Linked DNA regions of Oryctolagus cuniculus. The protein of the gene in region 1 interacts with the protein of each later gene in a biochemical or structural test. Links are inferred from orthologs where the notes say so. Each region holds a gene or a part of one and is shown on either strand. Other genes may lie near its edges.

Evidence for each region. The genes of interacting proteins can lie anywhere in the genome.
Region 2: of the proteins of BMP1 (region 1) and CHRD, one has a biochemical effect on the other in vitro, tested with the Homo sapiens proteins (3 studies listed by BioGRID and IntAct). The link is inferred for Oryctolagus cuniculus from reciprocal best matches to the Homo sapiens genes BMP1 and CHRD.

Annotation. Positions count from the first base shown.
Region 1 is NC_091439.1:1,111,134-1,121,460, reverse strand, and holds part of BMP1 (bone morphogenetic protein 1), read left to right. Parts: intron 1-752; coding exon 753-878; intron 879-1,393; coding exon 1,394-1,554; intron 1,555-1,816; coding exon 1,817-1,997; intron 1,998-4,671; exon of another isoform or gene 4,672-5,352; coding exon 5,353-5,478; intron 5,479-9,319; coding exon 9,320-9,447; intron 9,448-9,683; coding exon 9,684-9,897; intron 9,898-10,327. UniProt on the Homo sapiens protein: Metalloprotease that plays key roles in regulating the formation of the extracellular matrix (ECM) via processing of various precursor proteins into mature functional enzymes or structural proteins.
Region 2 is NC_091435.1:93,947,894-93,957,060, forward strand, and holds the start of CHRD (chordin), read left to right. Parts: upstream 1-3,258; 5' UTR 3,259-3,380; coding exon 3,381-3,528; intron 3,529-3,769; coding exon 3,770-3,873; intron 3,874-4,267; coding exon 4,268-4,397; intron 4,398-4,503; coding exon 4,504-4,632; intron 4,633-4,719; coding exon 4,720-4,819; intron 4,820-4,908; coding exon 4,909-4,996; intron 4,997-5,316; coding exon 5,317-5,458; intron 5,459-5,561; coding exon 5,562-5,702; intron 5,703-5,784; coding exon 5,785-5,867; intron 5,868-5,943; coding exon 5,944-6,091; intron 6,092-6,217; coding exon 6,218-6,324; intron 6,325-6,445; coding exon 6,446-6,565; intron 6,566-7,126; coding exon 7,127-7,283; intron 7,284-7,601; coding exon 7,602-7,822; intron 7,823-8,220; coding exon 8,221-8,334; intron 8,335-8,653; coding exon 8,654-8,932; intron 8,933-9,010; coding exon 9,011-9,104; intron 9,105-9,167. UniProt on the Homo sapiens protein: Dorsalizing factor. Key developmental protein that dorsalizes early vertebrate embryonic tissues by binding to ventralizing TGF-beta family bone morphogenetic proteins (BMPs) and sequestering them in latent complexes.

The sequences.
Region 1 (10,327 bases):
GGGAAAGATCCACCCCCGGGGGAGGGGCTGCTGGGGAAAGATCCGCCCCCTGGGGGAGTGGCTGCTGGGGGAAGATCCACCCCTGGGGGAGGGGCTGCTGGGTAAAGATCCGCCCCCTGGGGGAGGGGCTGCTGGGGAAAGATCCACCCCTGGGGGAGGGGCTGCTGGGGGAAGATCCACCCCCTGGGGGAGGGGCTGCTGGGGAAAGATCCGCCCCCTGGGGGAGGGGCTGCTGGGGAAAGATCCACCCCTGGGGGAGGGGCTGCTGGGAAAGATCCGCCCCCTGGGGGAGGGGCTGCTGGGGGAAGATCCACCCCCTGGGGGAGGGGCTGCTGGGGGAAAGCGCCACCCCCTGGGGGAGGGGCTGAATCAGTCTTCCATCTGTAAAATGGGCGCGGTAACAGTCCTTCCCCCACAGGCTGCGTGTGTGGACTGAAAGAGCGATGGAGGAAGATTACTTAGTGAGGGGAACAGCACAGGAGAGGCGCCAGGAAATGGTGCTGGCCGCCAGCCCAGTCCATGTGCCCAGAAGGGAGGCTCTGGGGCCCATCGTGGGGTATCTAGCACCCTCGGGGGGCTGGGAGGCAGGTTTGTCCACAGCTGAGTGGAGAGGTGAGCCTCACCGCTGACTCCCCCACGCTGGAAGGTAGACGCAAAGCCTGGGGGATCGTGAACTTGACCCTCCGGCAGAGGCTGGACGAGGGCCCGGCGGCAGCCTGCAGGGTCTCTAATCCCGCCTCTTTCCTCCGCAGAGGTGGACGAGTGCTCTCGGCCCAACCGCGGGGGCTGCGAGCAGCGATGCTTGAACACCCTGGGCAGCTACAAGTGCAGCTGTGACCCCGGCTACGAGCTGGCCCCCGACAAGCGCCGCTGTGAGGGTGCGCGGGCCCGACCCCCTTCTCCCCTGAGCCCTGCCCGCACCGTCCTGATGCCGTCCCCAGCCTTGGGGAGCTGGCCGGAGTTGCCCGTGCCCTCCTCCCAGCTCCTGGAGAACCCCGGCGAGAATGCACACTTGCCATGTGTTCTGCAGGCTGGCTTGGGGTTTGGCTTTAACGCTGACCTTGACCTGCAAAGCAATGTCAGTGTGGTGACCACACTGCAGGCTAAGGCGTCAGCGGGTTCTCCGAGCTGCCCCCTCTCCCGAGCCTCCAGGGGCTCCCAGGAGCCCCTGCCTCCCCCTTCTCCCTCTCAGAAGACCCCTGGCCTGTGGGGTCTTCCCACAGAGAAACACCCAGGCTTATACAACCCCGGACACCCACTCTCACCCTGCCTACTCCCTTCCGTCCCAGACGGATCAGACCCAAACCCCAGCCCGGCCCTGCCCTGCAGTAGGCAGTAGGCAGTAGGCAGTAGGGACTCCTGGTGACTGATGTCCCCCCCGGCCCCCCCCCAGCTGCCTGCGGTGGGTTCCTCACCAAGCTCAATGGCTCCATCACCAGCCCGGGCTGGCCCAAGGAGTACCCCCCGAACAAGAACTGTATCTGGCAGCTGGTGGCACCCACCCAGTACCGCATCTCCTTGCAGTTCGACTTCTTTGAGACCGAGGGCAACGACGTGAGTGCCCACTGGGGCTGAAAGGGGGCGGGAGGCATGGGAGCCCAGCTCGTGCCCACTTCCTGTCCTCCGAGTGCACTCTGAGAGTGGGGATGAGGGACCACACCCCATTCAGGGAGGCAGGGAGGCCTGAGGGAAGATCCGATCCGGGGCAGTAGGCAGGCAAAGGCTCCAGAGCCCACAGGCCAGGGAGCTTCCCCCCAGTGGGGTGGTCAGGAGAGGCTTCCTGGAGGAGGCAGCCTGGAGCTGGGCTTCCCGGCAGGTGTGCAAGTACGACTTCGTGGAGGTGCGCAGCGGGCTCACGGCCGACTCCAAGCTGCACGGCAAGTTCTGTGGCTCCGAGAAGCCTGAGGTCATCACCTCCCAGTACAACAACATGCGCGTGGAGTTCAAGTCCGACAACACCGTGTCCAAAAAGGGCTTCAAGGCCCAGTTCTTCTCAGGTAACCCCGGGCTGCCCCGCTCCAGCCCTGCACACGGCTGTCTTCCCCCTGGCGCTGCCCACCCCCCCCCCCTCCCCGCCCCAGCCCCATCTGGTGCCTGATGGTGGAGCTGGTGCACCTGCTCCCTGCCACCCCCCCCCCCCCCGCCACATACCCCGGGCCAGGCCCTCAGGCATCTGAGTTCCCAGATTCTGCACCCTCAAGGGAGTGGCAGGCCTCCAAGCGCTCCAGTGCCGGGAGGGTGGGGAAGAGGAGGATATTTGCCCCCGGTGAGGTGGGCCAGATTCCCTGGCAGGGGCCAGACTTCTAATCAGGCCCCGAGCAAGCCGTGCTGGGACTCCACCTTTCAGCACCCAGGCCTGCCCGCAGGATCCGAATCAATGGAGGCCTCAGCCTCTCTGAGCTGCAGGGGGCGGGGGCGGTGTCTTCAGAGGCAGTGGGCGGGCACCCAGGGTGTGTGTGGGGGCCCTGTGGTGGAGGGTGGGGAAAGCGGGAGGCCCCAGGGCTGGCCAGGGCAAGGTGGTTTTGTGGACGAGCCGCCCGGGGGTCCTCATCCCCAACCCGCCTGGTGGGCCGGGCATGGGGTGGGCAGGAAGCAGGAGGCCACGGCCGCGTCCACGCTGCCTCCCTTCTCCCCCTCCTCGCCCAGGGTCCTGCATCCTCGAGCCCCTATGTGGCCGCCCTGCATTCCCCTGCCTGCCCCACCTGGATGCCATGCACCTGCCCCTGTGCACGGGTTCCCTGCTTGGCACTGCCAGCCACCCTGCTCTGCTTAAAGTGCCCCATTGAGCTTCTGACTCAAAGCCATCCCGCCCCGCCCCACTGCTTGCTAAGACCCCTCCCCCGCCCCCACGCAATGCCAGTCCCTCCCTGCCCTGTGCCCAGCTCCTCCAAGGTGCTCGGGGGTGGGCTGCCCCGGGGATACCATTACCTGCTTACTCTCGTCTCTTCCTGCCCTTCTGTTGCTCCAGTCTTGGGGTGAGGTGGGGTGGGAGGGGGCTGGCACTTACCTCTGTCAGGCCTAGTCACTGCCCTGCCCCCCTGCGTGACCCCGTGCCACCCCACCCTCAGCCCTGCACACACACATGCTCACACACACCTGCAAGCACGCACACACACGGGTGCACACGCATTGCCCCGTCGCGAGGCCCCTCACCGGTGGGCATCAAGTGCAGCCCCCCAGGGCGTGGGGCCTCTGTCTGTGGCCCCCTCCCCCAGAAGGGGGCCTTTTGGACACTTGGGACACCCATCAAGGAGACCCTAAGGCAAGAAGGAGAAGAAAGAGCCGGAGACCTTCAGTGGGACCCCCGCCACCCTCCGGGGCATGTGGGCACTGTAGGGTGAGTGCCATCTCCTCGTCCAGGCCCGCGCCCGCCCCCTCTGTGCCCTTGCCCCTCCCACAAGCTGCCCCCTGGGCTCCGAGGTGAGGCTGCCCACTGCTCCCAACCTGTGCCAGAGTCCCCTGCCCCCCGAGGACGCTGACCTGGCCGCCCCCACTTGTCACTCAGCCAAGGACACACCCATTCACTCGGCCATTTGTGAGCGCTTATTTTACCCCTGCTGTGTGCCAGGCACAGTCCTAGGTATTCAGGGTACAACTAGGAGGAAAAGGAGTGGAAACAGGCCCGGGGAGTCTTTGCTGGGCCCCTTACTGCAGAGCACACAGGGATGTCTGCGGTGCCCCTGACCCCTACATCCCTGCAGGGTTAGTGCAAAGGCAGCCCTCGCTCCCTCCCCTCTGATGAGCCTCCTGAGCAGGAGCCCTTGGGAAGGGACCCCTGTGCGTCCCCAGGGGTCTGGCCCATCTGCTTTAGAGAAACAGAGCCTTCTGGGAGCTGATGCTGCAGCCCGAGGGCCTCTCTGATGGGGCCCAGGAGGTCTTTGCCACCGGCCGGCCGGCTGGCTGCCATCGGGTGGCTTTCTCCCTTGGGGTTCGCCCGTGGACCATCACACGGCCCCCCAGTGCCCACAGACAAACCTGAGGCTACATGGCCGAGGCCTACACACACCGCACCACGTGCAATCCTGTGTGTCAGTGCACGGGTGTGTGTGCGCGCGCGCACGCTTCCTCACATGGGCGAGGGCTCTTTGGAAACTTCGTGGAAAGTGGGCACTCTGAAAAATCCACGGGTGCATTTCCATCCTGTCTCGCCTCAGATCGCTTTATCTTTTAATCACATCTTTCCACGGGCTTTGGAAGGGCCCTTGGCCGTGGGAGCCGGCAGCGGCGTGTGTCTCCAGGTGGGCGGGTGACGCGTGTGCGTCTGTCTGGGTCCTGGTATCTGCACCCATGTGCACAGTGAGCGGCCATGTTGCAGTGCTGGCCCACGGGTGTGGATTGCCGTTGGGGGTGCAGCTCCCACGAGCCCCCTGCCCACCACTCCTGGTTCCTCTCCTCCCGAGTGCGCGCCTCGGTCCTGCGTGCCCCCCAGGCCTTCTCCCTGCCACAGGCTGTCTCCTGTCCCCTGTTGCTGCGCCTCTTTCCCCTGCCCCTTGCTAACCCAGCCCTCCGTGACCTGGCTGCGCCGGGCATGGCTGCCCGCATGCGTGCCCTGCCTGCCTCCCCGCTCCGCCCCGTGGCCCCGGGCCTGGTCTCCACTGCTGTCCCTCCCCTGGGCCCCCGCCCTCCACCCCCACCCCTCGGTCCCTTTTCTCCTTCTCTCTCTCATTTCAGAAAAGAGGCCAGCTCTGCAGCCCCCCCGGGGACGCCCCCACCAGCTCAAATTCCGAGTGCAGAAAAGAAACCGGACCCCCCAGTGAGGCCGGCCAGGCCTCCCAGACCCTACGTGTTACTCAGGAACCTCACCTCGGACGAATGGGCTGGGGGCTGCGGCGCCCCCCGCCCCCGGCCGCCGCCTCCGGCCGCACAGAACTGGTGCTCTCCTCTCCTCCTGGTCCCTCACAGCCACAGGGGGACCCCACCCCCACCCCTCCCCCCATTTTGATGGTGTCTGTGACATTTCCCGTTGTGAAGTAAAAGAGGGACCCCCGCGTCCTGCTCCTTTCTCTTGCAGTCTGCTTGTCCGTGTGTCTGTTTTTCCACTTGTCCGTCTGTCCAGTAAGCAGGTAATGGTAGAGGGTGCCCCCGGCGGTCAGCTCCGACCCTTCACCCCGCCTCCAGCCCACTTCTGCTCTCTTTCCCACAGCTGGGCCCCCTCAGCTGGCTCCGCTCGATGCAGTGCCCGGGACCCCCCACCCCAACTCTCCACCCCCCTCCCCCATCGGCGCCTTGCCCCCCCCCCCCACCCCTGCCCAGCTGTCTGTCTCCTGGAGGGAGGCAGCCCGGCCGCGTGCCCCGGGAGCAGGCAGCCCTGGGCCCTGCACAGACCCAGCCGCCCGTGTGCTCCCCTTGCAGACAAGGACGAGTGCTCCAAGGACAACGGCGGCTGCCAGCAGGACTGCGTCAACACGTTCGGCAGCTACGAGTGCCAGTGTCGCAGCGGCTTCGTCCTCCACGACAACAAACACGACTGCAAGGAAGGTAGGGACTGTGCCGAGACCCAGGCTGGCGGTGCGGCGTCTGCCCCGGGCGGCCCCGCGCTGGGGAGCGTCCGGACGGCCAGCGGTGCCTTCTCCATCAGCCTCAGTTCAGGCTCCCGGACCCGAGCAACCGTGGGGGTCACCTTGTGCCTCCCACATGTGGCGCAGGGACTCCCTCCACCTTCCCCAGCGTCCAAGCTCTGGTCTCTGCCCGCAGGGGACAGACGGACCGGGGCTCCATCTTGCCAGCTCTTAACAGTCGTTAGGGCTTTCTAAGACCCGCATCTAAGTGTTTTTCTTTCTTTCTTTTTTAATTAAAGATGTATTTATTTGTTTGAAAGACAGAATGATAGCCAGAGGGAGACACACACACACACACACACACACACACAGGTCTTTCATCTGCTGATGCACTCCTCAAATGGTCACCATGACCAGGGGGAAGCCAGAAGCCCAGAACTCCATCTGGGTCTCCCACATGGGTGCAGGGGCCCAAGCACTTGGGCCATCTTCCACTGCTATCCCAGGTGCATTAGCAGGGAGCTGGATCGGAAGCGGAGCATCGGGACTTAAAGCCATGCCCTGGTATGTGTCGGCTTAACCTGCTGTGCCACAACGCCAGCCCCCGAGTGTTTCTCTTTCTAACGGCCTCCCTCCAGCACGATGGACAGGACAGTGGCTCAGAGCCCAAGAGGGAGGGGATGGGATACTGGTTGAGGGCACAGACACGAGAGCCAGGGCGCCTGTTCCAGCCCTGTGTTTGGCGAGCTGTGTGCCCTTGAGTGGCTGTTACCTTCTTAGTGCCCCGGGTGCTTCTGTGTGAACTTAGGGAAAAAGAAGCCCTCTGTCCGAGGAGTGCCGGGGCCCTTTAACCTGGCAGCAAGTGCCCCTGGGCCTGTTGTCATGCTGGGTCCCACTCCTGACCCCGGAGCCCCGCAGCCCCACCCCAAGAATCCAGAACTTCACAGGTGGCAAACTCCACACGTGACCGCGGTGACAGCTCACGGAGAAAAGGCAGCTACGTGGAAAGGCCGGGTAAAACCACCTGGCGGCCCCGCGCAGAGGCTCTGTGTGACGTGTAAATGGATTCCGTGTTCCGATTCGGGTCGCACCCTGAGATACCTCACCGCGTCTACGCACATTGCCCCAAACCTGGAAGAACCCAAAACACTCGTGCTGCCAGCATCTTGGGCCACGGATGCTCCCATGCCATCCCACACCATCCCTGACGCCACCTGCTACAGCCCTGGCCCGCTGCGTGGGCTTCCCACGCAGCCCCCCTCAAGTCTCGCTGACTCCCAGGGCCCCCACCTCTTAGCTGGAGGGGGTTGTGTTCTGGTGCTGTCTGCTCTGTCCGCTCCCGGTGGGGAGGAGACCTCCAAGGACAAACAGCCGTGGGAAGATGCCCATCTACCCATCCGGCCTCCTGCCTCACTTGGAAGCACGCACGATCGCTCCCTTGGGTGCAGGAGCTCCAGAAAGGAGACCCTGTGTTCCAGGGAGCTCACAGTCTAGCTGGCGAGAGACGCAGAGGTGCTGGGAGACAGAGGCAGGGATGGGCGGCGGCCACGTGGGGAGGGTGGCGTGGCCGCATGAAGCCGTGGAGGCTCCGATGGGCAGAGACAGCAGCTTGGCCTGCAGCCTGAAGGGCTGTGCCGGCCTGGCCCTCGTAGCTGTACGTGCATTCGGTGAGCCCCTGGCCGTGGGCCTGGCCGTGCAGCCTGCGCCCTGCCCGTCCCTTTCTCCTCCTCCGCCCAGCAGGGCCCTGGCTGCCCACTTTTCCACGTGGAGCACACGGCCCTTGGTGATCGGTATCTGTTTTCAAGCTGTTTGGGATGCGCGTTATTATTATTTTTTTTAATGTTTATGTATTTGAAAAGCAAAGCAACAGAGAGAAAGGGAGAGAGGGGGAGAGTGAGACAGAGAGACAGGGAGAGACAGAGAGATCTTCATCCACTGATTCATTCCCCAAATGCCTGCAGCAGGAACTGTGTTGTGGCACAGTGGGTTAAGCCGCTGCCTATGACACCACCATCCCATGTGGATGCTGGTTCGAGTCCCAGCTGCTCTGCTTCTGTGCTAGCTCCTGTTAATGTGCCTGGGAAAGCAGCGGAAGATGACCCAAATAGTTGGGCCCCTGCAACTCACATGGGAGACCCAGATGAAGCTCCTGGCCCCTGTCTTTAGCCTGGCTCAGCTCCAGTCATTGAAGCCATATGGGGAATGAACCAGTCTCCCTTTCTCTCTCTCTCTCTCTAACTCTGCCTTTCAAATCTCCTTTTTTGAAAGATTTATTTTATTTATTTGAAAGACAGTTATAGGGAGAAGTAGAGACGGGGGGGGGGGGGTTTCCATCCACTGGTCACTTCCCAAATGGCCTCAACGGCCAGAGCTGTGCCGATCTGGAGCCAGGAGCCAGGAGCTTCTTCTAGGTCTCCTACGCTGGTGCAGGGGCCCAAGGACTTGGACCATCTTCTGCTGCTTTCCCAGACACATTAGCAGGGAGCTGGATCAGAAGTAGAGCAGCTGGGACTCTAACCAGTGCCCATATAGGATATTGGTGCTGTAGGTCAGGGCTTTAACCCACTGTGGCACAGCGCTGACCACTCAAATAAATCTTAAAAAATAAAAAAAATGCCTGCCACAGCCAGGGCTGGGCCAAACCAAAGCCAGGAGCCTGGAGCTCCATCTGGGCCTCCCACATGGAGGGCGGGACTCATCTACTTGAGCTGTCACCTGCTGCCTCCCAGGGTGCTCAGAGTGGAAAGTGGGGGCGAGACTCAAACCTGGACACTCAGATACGGCACGTGGGCATCCCAAGCAATGGCCTAATAGCTGCCCCAAACCACACTTCCCAGGGGACAGGCTGGGGACTGCCATCGCTGAGGGTGCTGGCGAGGAGTGTGGGTGCTCGGCCCTGCCTCCAGCTGCAGAGGAGGGTGGCTGAGGTTAACCCAGTCCGCCCTCGCACCTGTGCCTTCTCCATCCGTGGGGTCAGCCCACCCTAGCTGTCCTGAGCACTGGGACTTCTGCTGTAGCCGTTGTCCCCTGACCAGTATATTGTGGCACTTTGTAGGTGGCACTTACGTTGCATTGGGATGTACAATGTGCCACGGGGGGCAGGTGTCTGGTTAAGATGCCTCTTGGGACACCGAGTTCAAGGGCCCAGCTCTGCTGCTGGTTCCAGCTTCCTGCTAACGCACGCTCTGGGCAGCCAGCTGTGACTTGCCCCAGCCCTGGCCCTTACAGGCATTTGGGGAATAAACCAGCAAATGGAAGCTCTTGGTCTGTCTCCCTCTGTGTCTTTGCCTCTCATGAATAAATTAATTTAAAAAAGCGCACAGGAAGATGAGCGTGGGTTCTGTGCAAAATCCATGCCCGTTTATGTAAGCAGCTTGAGCACCTGCAGACCTTGCTGTCTGCCGTGGGTCCTGGGAACATTCGTTCCCCTGTGGACGCCAAGGGCCAGCCATACTGAGTGAAGGATCAGCTCCCTGGAGGAACCGGAAGCGGCTGCGGAGCGGGCGGTGCCCTGTGCCGAAGCCTGGGGTGGGGGCGGCCATTGCTGTGGTTGACATCACCCAGGGTTTCATGGCAGCGGGCGTGGGGAGGATTGAGTCAGGTGCCAAAGTCCTTGTGATGCTGGCGGTGACAGGTGCAAGGAGGGGGCAGGGGTGGCCCCGGGGGAGCACCGCGGGGTCACACTGAGGGCTGCGGCAGGCAGCAGCCAGCTAGTGTTCCCGCAGGCCTGCAGGGGAACAAGACAGGAGACATGGGGGAAGTGGGGGCGGGGTGGGTAAGGGCCTCTCTTGCAGGAGGTGCCATCACTCACTTCCCCACAGCTGGCTGTGACCACAAGGTGACGTCCACCAGCGGCACCCTCACCAGCCCCAACTGGCCCGACAAGTACCCCAGCAAGAAGGAGTGTACCTGGGCCATCTCCAGCACCCCCGGGCACCGGGTCAAGCTGGTAGGTGCCCGGCCCCCAGCTGCATGGGCACCCCTGCTCCTCCACGTCCTGTGGGTGCCACCTCCAGAGCCCCTGCAGCCTGGGGGCGGGGGGCTGGGCTGAGCCCCGGGACCCGGCACCCAGCTGCTGCCTGGGCACAGCCTCCTCTCCCAGCACTGCCCGTTCCTGGGACCACCTGGGCCCCCGCCCCTGTTCCCAGCCGCGTGTTTAAGCTGCCTGCCCCTCGCGCCCTGCAGACCTTCGTGGAGATGGACATCGAGTCCCAGCCCGAATGCGCCTACGACCACCTGGAGGTGTTTGACGGCCGCGACGCCAAGGCCCCTGTCCTGGGGCGCTTCTGTGGCACCAAGAAGCCCGAGCCCGTCCTGGCCACCGGGAACCGCATGTTCCTGCGCTTCTACTCGGACAACTCGGTCCAGCGCAAGGGCTTCCAGGTGCAGCACTCCACAGGTGGGGCCCCTGCCGCCCTGGGGGGCTGCAGAGCCCGTGTCAGCTCAGACACACGGGGCCCTGCGGCCCAGGAGGCGGGGCATGCCAGTGTGTCCTGGGGACCAGGCCAGGGGCTCCGAGTGGGCGCCGAGGGGTGCGGGGCTGGGGGAGGGTCACAGGTCAGGGTCAGAAAGGACTGGGCGGTGATGGCGATTGCTGGGGGGGGAGCTAGAGCAGCTGGGATGGGGAGGAAGTACCCTACAGCTCCCACTGAAAGTGCAGTTGCCTCCTCATTCTCCAGCCCCCCCCATACTCACTCACTCATTCACTCATTCACTCATTCATTCTGCAGTTATCTAGTAAAATGTGGCAGCTGGCATCCTAAGTGCTGGTCACGAAATGAACCAAGCAGAAAAAAAAAAAAAGGGCCGGTGCTGCAGCTCACTAGGCT
Region 2 (9,167 bases), on another chromosome or scaffold:
GGGCGGGGAACAGGTGCTGGGCAGGTAGCACTGAACTGCCCAGAACTGGAGCCTAGATTGCTAACTCTGATGGCTCCCACGTTTGCTGTGGCCTCCCCTTTGTCAGCTCCTCAGTGAGTTTGCCTCTCCCCTAGCTGAGAACAGCAGGACGGGATGTACACACACACACACACACACACACACACACATGCCACCTCTTCATCGACCTCAAGTTCTGAGAAACCTGGGTTGTTAGGTGGGAGAAAATGTGGGGCAGGGAGAGAGCCTGGAAGTCCTGTGGTGCCAGCCTGGAGAAGAGAGTGGCCAGCAGGCTGAAGGGCCAGGAAGGGGACTCAAAAACATGGACAGGCGTGACTGAAGCTTCAGCTTTGTGCAGTGGAGTCGAGGAGGGGAACTAGGTGAAAATGTAACTGGGACTGCTAGAGGTCAGGAATTAGGAGGTGGTGTGGGAGAAATTCACCTCTCATTCTTTCCCCCAGTGATCCCCACACGTAGGACTCCTGGAGTGTCTCTGCACACCAGGTTCTGAAACACCCTGTTATCTGTGGCCCAGAGATGGGCTAACAGTCCTGGGGACTTCCTTCCTGGGGCAAGCAGCCCGGGAACGGGCATCCGCTGAGCAAGGCTAGGTCCACCTTCCATCGTCACCTTACACACCTGCCAACATATCTGTCCCATAGCCTGCACCTGCCTCCCCGCCCCCTCTGCAGACCCTTTCTGGTTTCTCTATAGGACCCCCCACAAGGCTTCCTCCTCCTTTCACAAGTTGTGCAAAGAGGCCAGCACCTGATTCAATATTGGGATTTCCTGTAGGTCTGTCAACATGCACCAGCCCTCCTCCCATTCCTCTCTTCTTGTGCCCTGGCTGGCCCGAGTCAGCTTCCCTGGCTCCAGGATTCAAAACTTTAAGCCAGTAAGGAATGCCAGGAAGGAAGGGAGACTGGGGCTCTGTCCATCTTGGTACCATGCTCCCCAGGCCCTAAATGCACTTCCTGTCTTACATTCTCCCCAGGCCCAGGTCCCTGTTCTCTAGGGTCAGCCAGGACTGTGCTGTGTTCTACTATGTCTGTGATTAGTCCCTCGGAACCCAGTACCCCACCCCCTACCCCTGCTCTGTCCTGCTCCTCCCATTCTGGGAAGGCTCCACTCTTCTCGACAAAGGTCAGTGCCTGTAGGTTCCAGTTTGCCTGCCCCTCCCCCAGCTGCAAGCCCAGTTCCTCTTTCCTGTCCTTCCTACGCTCACCTAACCCCAAACCCTGCTTGTCACTCACCAGGTGGAGAAGGGCTCAAGGACCCAGGTGCACAGCAGGCAGTGCTCTGGGGAGCCGATGGGTAGGAAGACTTGTGGCGTTGGGGCACAGCCTCTCCACGGCAGTGGGGTCACACGCCTGCTCTGGCCACTTCTGCCCAATCAGAGAGCAGGGAGCCACTGGACACTGGCAAAGGCCCCCGGAAGTGACGCCTTCTCCTCCCAGCCGCGCTGGACCCGGAGCCCCTGCCTGGACCATGGTCCACTAGTGGAGCCCAGCTCCTCCACCCACACACACCACAGGAGGATTTGGATAGGGGACTCTGTCTTCTCCTAGGAGATGGGAAGTCTGGGACCTGACAACGGGCAGAGGTGGGAAAGGAGCAGAGGGTTTTTGTTGTTGTTGTTGTTGGGGGTGGGGGGGTGGGGGGAGGAGGATCTGGCAGGACACCTGTGTCCTGGAGGAAGCGGCACAGAGGTCTTGCTTCAGACTGGTGGGTTTTCAGTCCTGGCTATCTACATTTCTTTTCCCTGCACACCACACCTGCTGCTGAAATCCAATCGGCTCTTGCCTTCCCACTTTCCTATAACCCCCTAGGGAGTCCCGTCTTGTCACTCTCCCTTTCCAGGTGGGGATCTGGGTATGGCCTGTGCTACAGGGGTCCTCTTATGGGTCATTTTCTGGCAGAGGGCTTTGGCCAGCTGAGGGGATGGGAACACGAGTAGCGGGTGCTGGGTTGAGCCCGGCTCAGGTCCACTTATCTTGGTGCCCGTGCCCTGCCTTTCTCCCTCTTCCATCTCCTGTCATTCCACATGTGACAAGAGGAATAACCAGGCCCATGTGTCCCTGTCTTAGAAAGACAGCTGCTGGGCCTCCCCTGCAAATACCTCCCTGCTGGCCCCTCTGCCTTTGGCCATGGCTCTGTTCCTTTGCTTTCCCCTCAGTCCTGGTCTCCCCATAGCCCCTGTCCTCAGGGGCCTCCTGGCCTGACCTTGTTCCCGGCACACCCCCTGCCCGCACAGGTTCCTCCCCAGGCTTTCTCCTGTCTTCCTCCCCAGGATGGGGCTGCCTGCGAGGGAGCATGGCCTAGATCCCGGAATTCTCTAGTTCAGCCAGAAGAGATTCCTCCTGAGATTAGGAAGGAGGGTGCTGGGACGGCTGCGGGGATGGTGGGTGTGTGGGGGTGGGAGGGCATGGGGGGGCAGCCACTACCAGGAAAGGGCGTTTGGGGAGTAGGCTGGAGAGGCAGAGGGGCCCGCAGGAGAGGGCAAGAGATGATGGCCGGGTCCACCTGGGAGACGCTGTCACTGGACAGAAGGAGCACCCTGCCTGTCTTGGGAGCACTGCAATGAGAAGACACCTGGGGGCAGTGAGAGAGAGGGTGGTGCTGTGGGCCGGGCTCCAGGGGACATCCGCGGATGGACCTCTCCCGCTCCTTGTCATCCTGAAAGGAAAGTCTTCATCCTTGGGTAGGAGCAGGGTCCTCACCCTGGGACCCTCGGGGCCTCAGGCCCAGCACCCGCCCCTGCCTAGCCGGAGACTCCCGACCTGGGCCTGACATGGACACCTCGGGGTCCGGCCATCCTGTGGCCGCCAGCAGCGGGGGGCTGCAGGCCCGCCTCTCCTCCCCCTCTACGCGCCCCCAGGTCCTTCCCCTCCCCCTCCCCCCTCCGCTCCCCCTTCCCCTCCAGCCCCTCCCTCCTCCCCTGCCCGGTCCCAGCCCCTCCCTCCCCTCCCCCACTCGCGATCCGGGCCGCTGCCGCTGGGCCGGACCCCCCGGGCTCAGCCCGGCCCCTCGCCGAGCCGCCGCCGCCGCCCCGTTTGCTGAGGAGGAGGCCCCCGGCCGGGGCGTCGGGCGCGGGGCATAAAACGGGCCGGAGCCGGCGCCCGGGGCACTCGAAGCCACATACGGCCCGGGTCAGCGCCCGCCCGGCCGCGCTCTTCCCGGCCGCTCCGCCCGCCCCTCCCGGCCCGGCGCCGACTCCGCGGCCGCCCGACGAGCCCCTCGCCGCACTGCCCCGGCCCTGGCCCCGGCCCCCTCCCGCCGCACCGCCCCCGGCCCGGCCCTCCTCCCTCCTCCCGCGCCCGCGCCCTCCTCCCTCCCGCCTCCCCAGCTGTCCCGTTCGCGTCATGCCGAGCCTCCCGGCCCCGCCGGCCCCGCTGCTGCTCCTCGGGCTGCTGCTGCTCGGCCCCCAGCCGGCCCGCGGCGCCGGCCCCGAGCCCCCCGCGCTGCCCATCCGTCCCGAGAAGGAGCCGCTGCCCGTTCGGGGAGCGGCAGGTAGGTGGGCGCCCGGAGGTGGGGGGGTAGACGCGGGCGGGGAGTCGGCTCCGGGCAAGTCCGCGCCCGCCCGGAGGGGCCGGCGGGGCGCAGGTGGCTCGCACGGCGGGCGGCCCGGAGGGGCGGGCGGGGGCTGCGGGGCGCGCGGTGCCAGGGGCCCCCCGGGGCCCGGCGGGCAGCGCCCGGGGCGGGCACCCGGCACGAGCTGGGCAGCGGCCGCCAGCCAAGCCCGTCCCTGCAGGCTGCTCGTTCGGCGGGAAGGTCTATGCCTTGGACGAGACGTGGCACCCGGACCTGGGGGAGCCCTTCGGGGTGATGCGCTGCGTGCTGTGCGCCTGCGAGGCGGTGAGTGGACGCGGCGGCCGCGGCCCGGGCCCTCACGGGTTGGGAAGCGCTGGGCTCCCGAGCCGGCGGCGTGGATTCGGAGCTGGTCCGCACACCCGAGCGTTTGGGGGTGTTGTCCTGGCCGCCCGCCCTGCGGGTCTCAGGTGTTGACTCATTGATCACCCGCCATGCGCGCGGCTCTGCGCCGGCCGCGTCTCCCCTGTCACTTAACTTAAAACTCTGCTAGAGGGATCCAGTTCTTTTCCCAGATGGGGAAGGCAAGGCCCAGAGAGGTTAGGTAACTTGCGTAGGGCCACGCAGCCTGGAAGTGCGCGCCGTCCTTGCCGCGCTGCGCCGGCTCGCTCCCCTTGGTCATCGAGAACTGACTTGCTTGTCCCGTTTTCTCCCCGAGCAGCCTCAGTGGGCTCGCCGTGCCAGGGGCCCTGGCAGAGTCAGCTGCAAGAACATCAAGCCCGAGTGCCCAGCCCTGGCCTGCGGGCAGCCGAGGCAGCTACCGGGACACTGCTGCCAGACCTGCCCCCAGGGTAAGGCCTGCTCCGCAGGCGGCAGCGATCCCAGGTCCTGGGCCACTTGTTTCGGGGCAGCTCGCCCAGCGCGCGCTGAAGGCGGTGTCCCTTAACCCTGGCACAGAACGCAGCGGTGCTGAGCGGCAGCCACCGGGCCTGTCCTTTGAGTATCCGCGGGACCCCGAACACCGCAGTTACAGCGACCGCGGGGAACCGGGCTCGGAGGATCGGGCGCGCGGTGAAGGCCACACTGGTAGGCGGGGCCCGGGGTAGGGTCGTGAGGAGGCCGTATCGCCAGCGGCAGCTGACAGTGCTCAGTCCATCTTTCCTCCCGGTGCAGACTTTGTGGCGCTGCTGACAGGGACGAGGTCGCAGGCGGTGGCACGTGCCCGGGTCTCACTGCTGCGCTCCAGCCTGCGTTTCTCCATCTCCTACCGGCGGTGAGGGGAGGGGGTGGGGAGGAGGAGATGAAGGAGAACAGGAGGTGGGGGGGCTGGGCCACCCGGCTCACCTGCCCTCTCCTCTCCAGACTGGACCGGCCCACCAGGGTGCGCTTCTCTGACCCCACTGGCAGCGTCCTGTTTGAACACCCCGCAGCCCCCACTCAGGACGGCCTGGTGAGATGATACCACTCATGAGTGCTTGCCTGGTCTGGGTGCTGTGCTGAGAGCGCGTGCCCTGCTGCCTCCTCTGGTCTCCGCGAGAGCCCAGAGCGAGAAAGATGCCCATTTTATAGACGAGGGATTTGTTCAAGGTCACGCAGTTAGGGAGTGGTAGAGCCAGGACCTGAACCCCAGCATCAGGTTCCTGGGCCCCTTCCTAAGCTTCTTAGGGGGGCTCTGGGGGCTCCTCTCCACAGACCTTCCTCTCCAGGCCGGGGCCTTGGGGCTGGCCTGTGTGCGTCCTGAGCGCAGGGCCTCTTGTCTCGATGCTCCAGGTCTGTGGGGTGTGGCGGGCAGTGCCTCGGTTGTCTCTGCGGCTCCTCAGGGCAGAACAGTTGCATGTGGCACTCGTGACACCCACTCACCCTTCAGGGGAGGTCTGGGGGCCTCTGATCCGGCACCGGGCCCTGGCTGCAGGTAAGGGGAGCCAATGGCCCCTGGGTGTGCAAGTCTGAGTCCCAAGGTGGGTGGGCCGAGGGGAGGATTTTCTGGTGGCCTCTCATGGCCCTCGCTCCCGCAGAGACCTTCAGCGCCATCCTGACTTTGGAGGGCCCCCAGCAGCCGGGTGTAGGGGGAGTCACTCTGCTGACGCTCAGCGACACAGAAGACTCCTTGCATTTTTTGCTGCTCTTCAGGGGGCTGCTGGACCCCAGGAATGGGGGTAAGCGGGCTGGGGAGGAGAGAGGGAGCAGAGGAGGGGAGCACCTTTCCCAGAGGAAGGGCCACACGTGCGACTGTTGCAGGGCCGTCCCGGGTTCCCTTGAGGCTCCAGATTCTACACCAGGGGCAGCTGCTGCGAGAGCTCCAGGCCAATGGCTCAGCCCAGGTATGTGAGGTTGTGCCTCGGCTGCTGCCAGCTCTGGCTTCTTGCTGGTGCCCACCGCGCCCTGCTCTGTCCCCAGGAGCCGGGCTTCGCCGAGGTGCTGCCCGACCTGACAGCACAGGAGATGGACTGGCTAGTGCAGGGAGAGCTGCAGATGGCTCTGGCGAGGACAGCTGGGCCGGAGCTGCGCATCAGTGGGCACATTGCTGCCAGGCAGAGCTGCGATGGTGAGGCAGGGTGGGGCTAGCACCCGCAGACGTGCCAGGGAAGGGACCAGGATGGATGTGGGAAAGATCCTGGGGGCCAGGGCTATGAGTGACGGTGCAGCAGCCCTGCTACAACCTGTCTTGCAGTCCTGCAAAGTGTCCTTTGTGGAGCTGATGCCCTGACTCCTGTCCAGACTGGGGCTGCTGGCTCAGCCAGCCTCACACTGCTAGGAAATGGCTCTCTGATCTATCAGGTAAGAGGGGCTGTAGGGGGAGAGGAGGGTAGCAGGGAAGGGCCTGGACCTGCGATGGTTCAGGTCCTGGGCTTTCAGCGTCACTCTACTTAATTTGCCTTCCTCCAACCCTGCCCATCAGGTGCAGGTTGTAGGTACAAGCAGTGAGGTGGTGGCCATGACACTGGAGACCAAGCCTCAGCGAAGGAACCAGCGCACTGTGCTGTGCCACATGGCTGTGCTCCGCACAGGGGGACATATGGTGAGGGCCCCAGGGCCCATGTGCAGGGATGCCAGTGTGGGCTGGGGGAGGCTAGGTTGCATGAGCAGGGATGTTCAGTCTCCTTCACTCGCTCAGGGCTTCTCTCCCTGATTCATTTGTTCATCTGACACATTTTTAGTGAGCTCTAGACTAGGGGCTGGAGTGCATGGAAAATCAGATGTGGCCCTGTCCTCAGTGAGCTCACCCTCGAGTGGGAGAAAGTAGACAGGAGAGTAGTGCAGTCGCCCAGGTCATGCTGAGTGCGAGGGCACTGGCTGCTTCCGCTTGGGTCCTTCCACGTGCCAGCTGCTGTCCTGGTGGCCTTTCCTATGTTTCTGGCCTTCACAGTACCCGTTTCATAGCTGAGGGAGGGAAGGCTCAGAGAGCTGAAACTCTTCAAGGCTGTTACATATCTAGGAGGCGCTGGAAGGCGGGCCTGCGAGGTTCTGGTCCCGCATTCCTGGGGTGTGAAAGCGTGCATGGGTGTAGCGAAGGCTGCAGAACCTTGGGCTGATGGAAAAGCTGAGGGGCCTCATCCTTCCCCATCCCCCAACCTCCCAGACTGCGGGTGTCTGCCCTGGGCTGGGTGCCCGAGGGGCGCACATGCTGCTGCAGAACGAGCTGTTCCTGAACGTGGGCACCAAGGACTTCCCGGACGGCGAGCTGCGGGGGCACGTGGCTACCTTGCCCTACAGTGGACACAGCGCCCGCCATGAGAGTGAGTGCCCCGGGGGTCTGCCTGCTCTTTGACGTCCTCTGACCTGTGACTCAAGCATGTGAGAGATGGTGGCAGAGGTCAGACCTGGTGCGTGTTTCTTTGTGCCTGAGCTCCGGCTTGGCCTCTGGAGAAGGTGGGGACTCCGGCAGACTGCTTGTTGCCTGGTGCAGGGTCTAAGACTTGCTGCTTCCCAGGCCCTGGGCCTGTGGACGGCGCCTTCCAGCTCATGGAGTCTGTGTTGGGGGAGATGGGGTGTGCTGGGACCGAGGGGCTTCTCTGGGCCGCCTTCTCATCTGTCACTTCTCTGTCTGGACCCAGCACTGCCTGTGCCCCTGGCAGGAGCCCTGGTGTTGCCCCCTGTGCAGAGCCAGGCAGCTGGGCATGCCTGGCTCTCCCTGGATGCCCACTGTCACCTGCACTATGAAGTGCTGCTGGCTGGGCTTGGTGGCTCAGAGCAGGGCACCGTCACTGCCCACCTCCTCGGGCCTCCTGGGATGCCAGGACCCCGGCGGCTGCTGAAGGGATTCTACGGCCCAGAGGTGAGGACGTGATGGTAGCATGAGGCTTGGAAAATTTCTGATTTTGAGCTTGAAGGGCCTGTGGTGGGGGAAGCAGAGAGCGGGGCAGCCTGGGATTGCGGAGCTGGCATGGGCTCAGCAATCAGACAGACCTGGGTATGGACCTGCCTCTGCCTCTGCTTATCCACTCTCCTTTCTATGCCCTCCTCCTGCGGCTTCCTTGGGTACTATGTGCTATTCTGTGGGAGGCGTTGCTCTGGACTTGGACCTCAGAGCCCCACTCAGTCTGGAGGGGCTTGGCCACCCTAGGGAGAGCTTATTTAATCTCCCTGGGCTGTTTCTTCACTTGCTAATGGTGGTGGTCGTAGGGGAACAGGAGGCGGGCCCTTCCGTATCTTGTTCCATCCCTCCCTCTGCAGGCCCAGGGCGTGGTAAAGGACCTGGAGCCTGAGCTGCTGCGGCACCTGGCTCAGGGCACTGCCTCCCTGTTGATCTCCACCAAGGGGAGTCCCCGAGGGGAGCTTCGGGGGCAGGTAGGAGTTCTGTGGGGATGACATGTGGCTGGCATGTGGCTGGGTCCTGGCAGCGGTGGCTTGCTGCCTCTAAACCCTGGGGGTGGGGGTATCAGCCTCCCTGGCTGTGGGAAGGACCATGCCAGAGAAGGTCCATGGGCGGACTGCAGCCCACAGCCCTGTCCCTGGTGGCTGGATAGATCTCTGTGGCTAAATACACCCTCCCAGGGCACCATGGGGTTTTGGGGGCAGGGGTATGGCCTGGGGGCTGTCTGGCTGCCACTGGTGGAGACTCAAGGGGCGGGGGCCCTGCGCTACCTCAGTAGGCCTCTCCTCCCAGGTACACATCGCCAATCACTGCGAGGTGGGTGGCCTGCGTCTGGCTGCAGCCGGGGCCGAGGGTGTGCAGACACCTGGGGCTCCGGATGCAGCGGCAGTGGCAGCTGCATTGCCAGCACCACCCCCTGTGTCTGGTCCTGAGGTCCCAGCACCCGCCAAATCTGGTGGTCCTGTGCGGCCCCGAGACCCCAACATGTGCTTCTTCGAGGGGCAGCAGCGTCCTCATGGGGCACGCTGGGCGCCCAACTATGACCCGCTCTGCTCCCTCTGCACCTGCCAGGTAGGAGGCCCTACAAGGTAAACTGGGTCCCAGTGTCTAGGGCAAGGGACCCCCTCAAGCCCCTGCCTCTCTGTGCAGAGACGGACAGTGATCTGTGACCCTGTAGTGTGCCCACCACCCAGCTGCTCCCAGCCGGTACAGGTGCTGGACCAGTGCTGCCCCGTGTGCCCGGGTGAGTTTCCTGCAGGAAAGGAGAGGGTAGTAGAGGCATCAGCCTGGTGGGGGATGGGCCTTC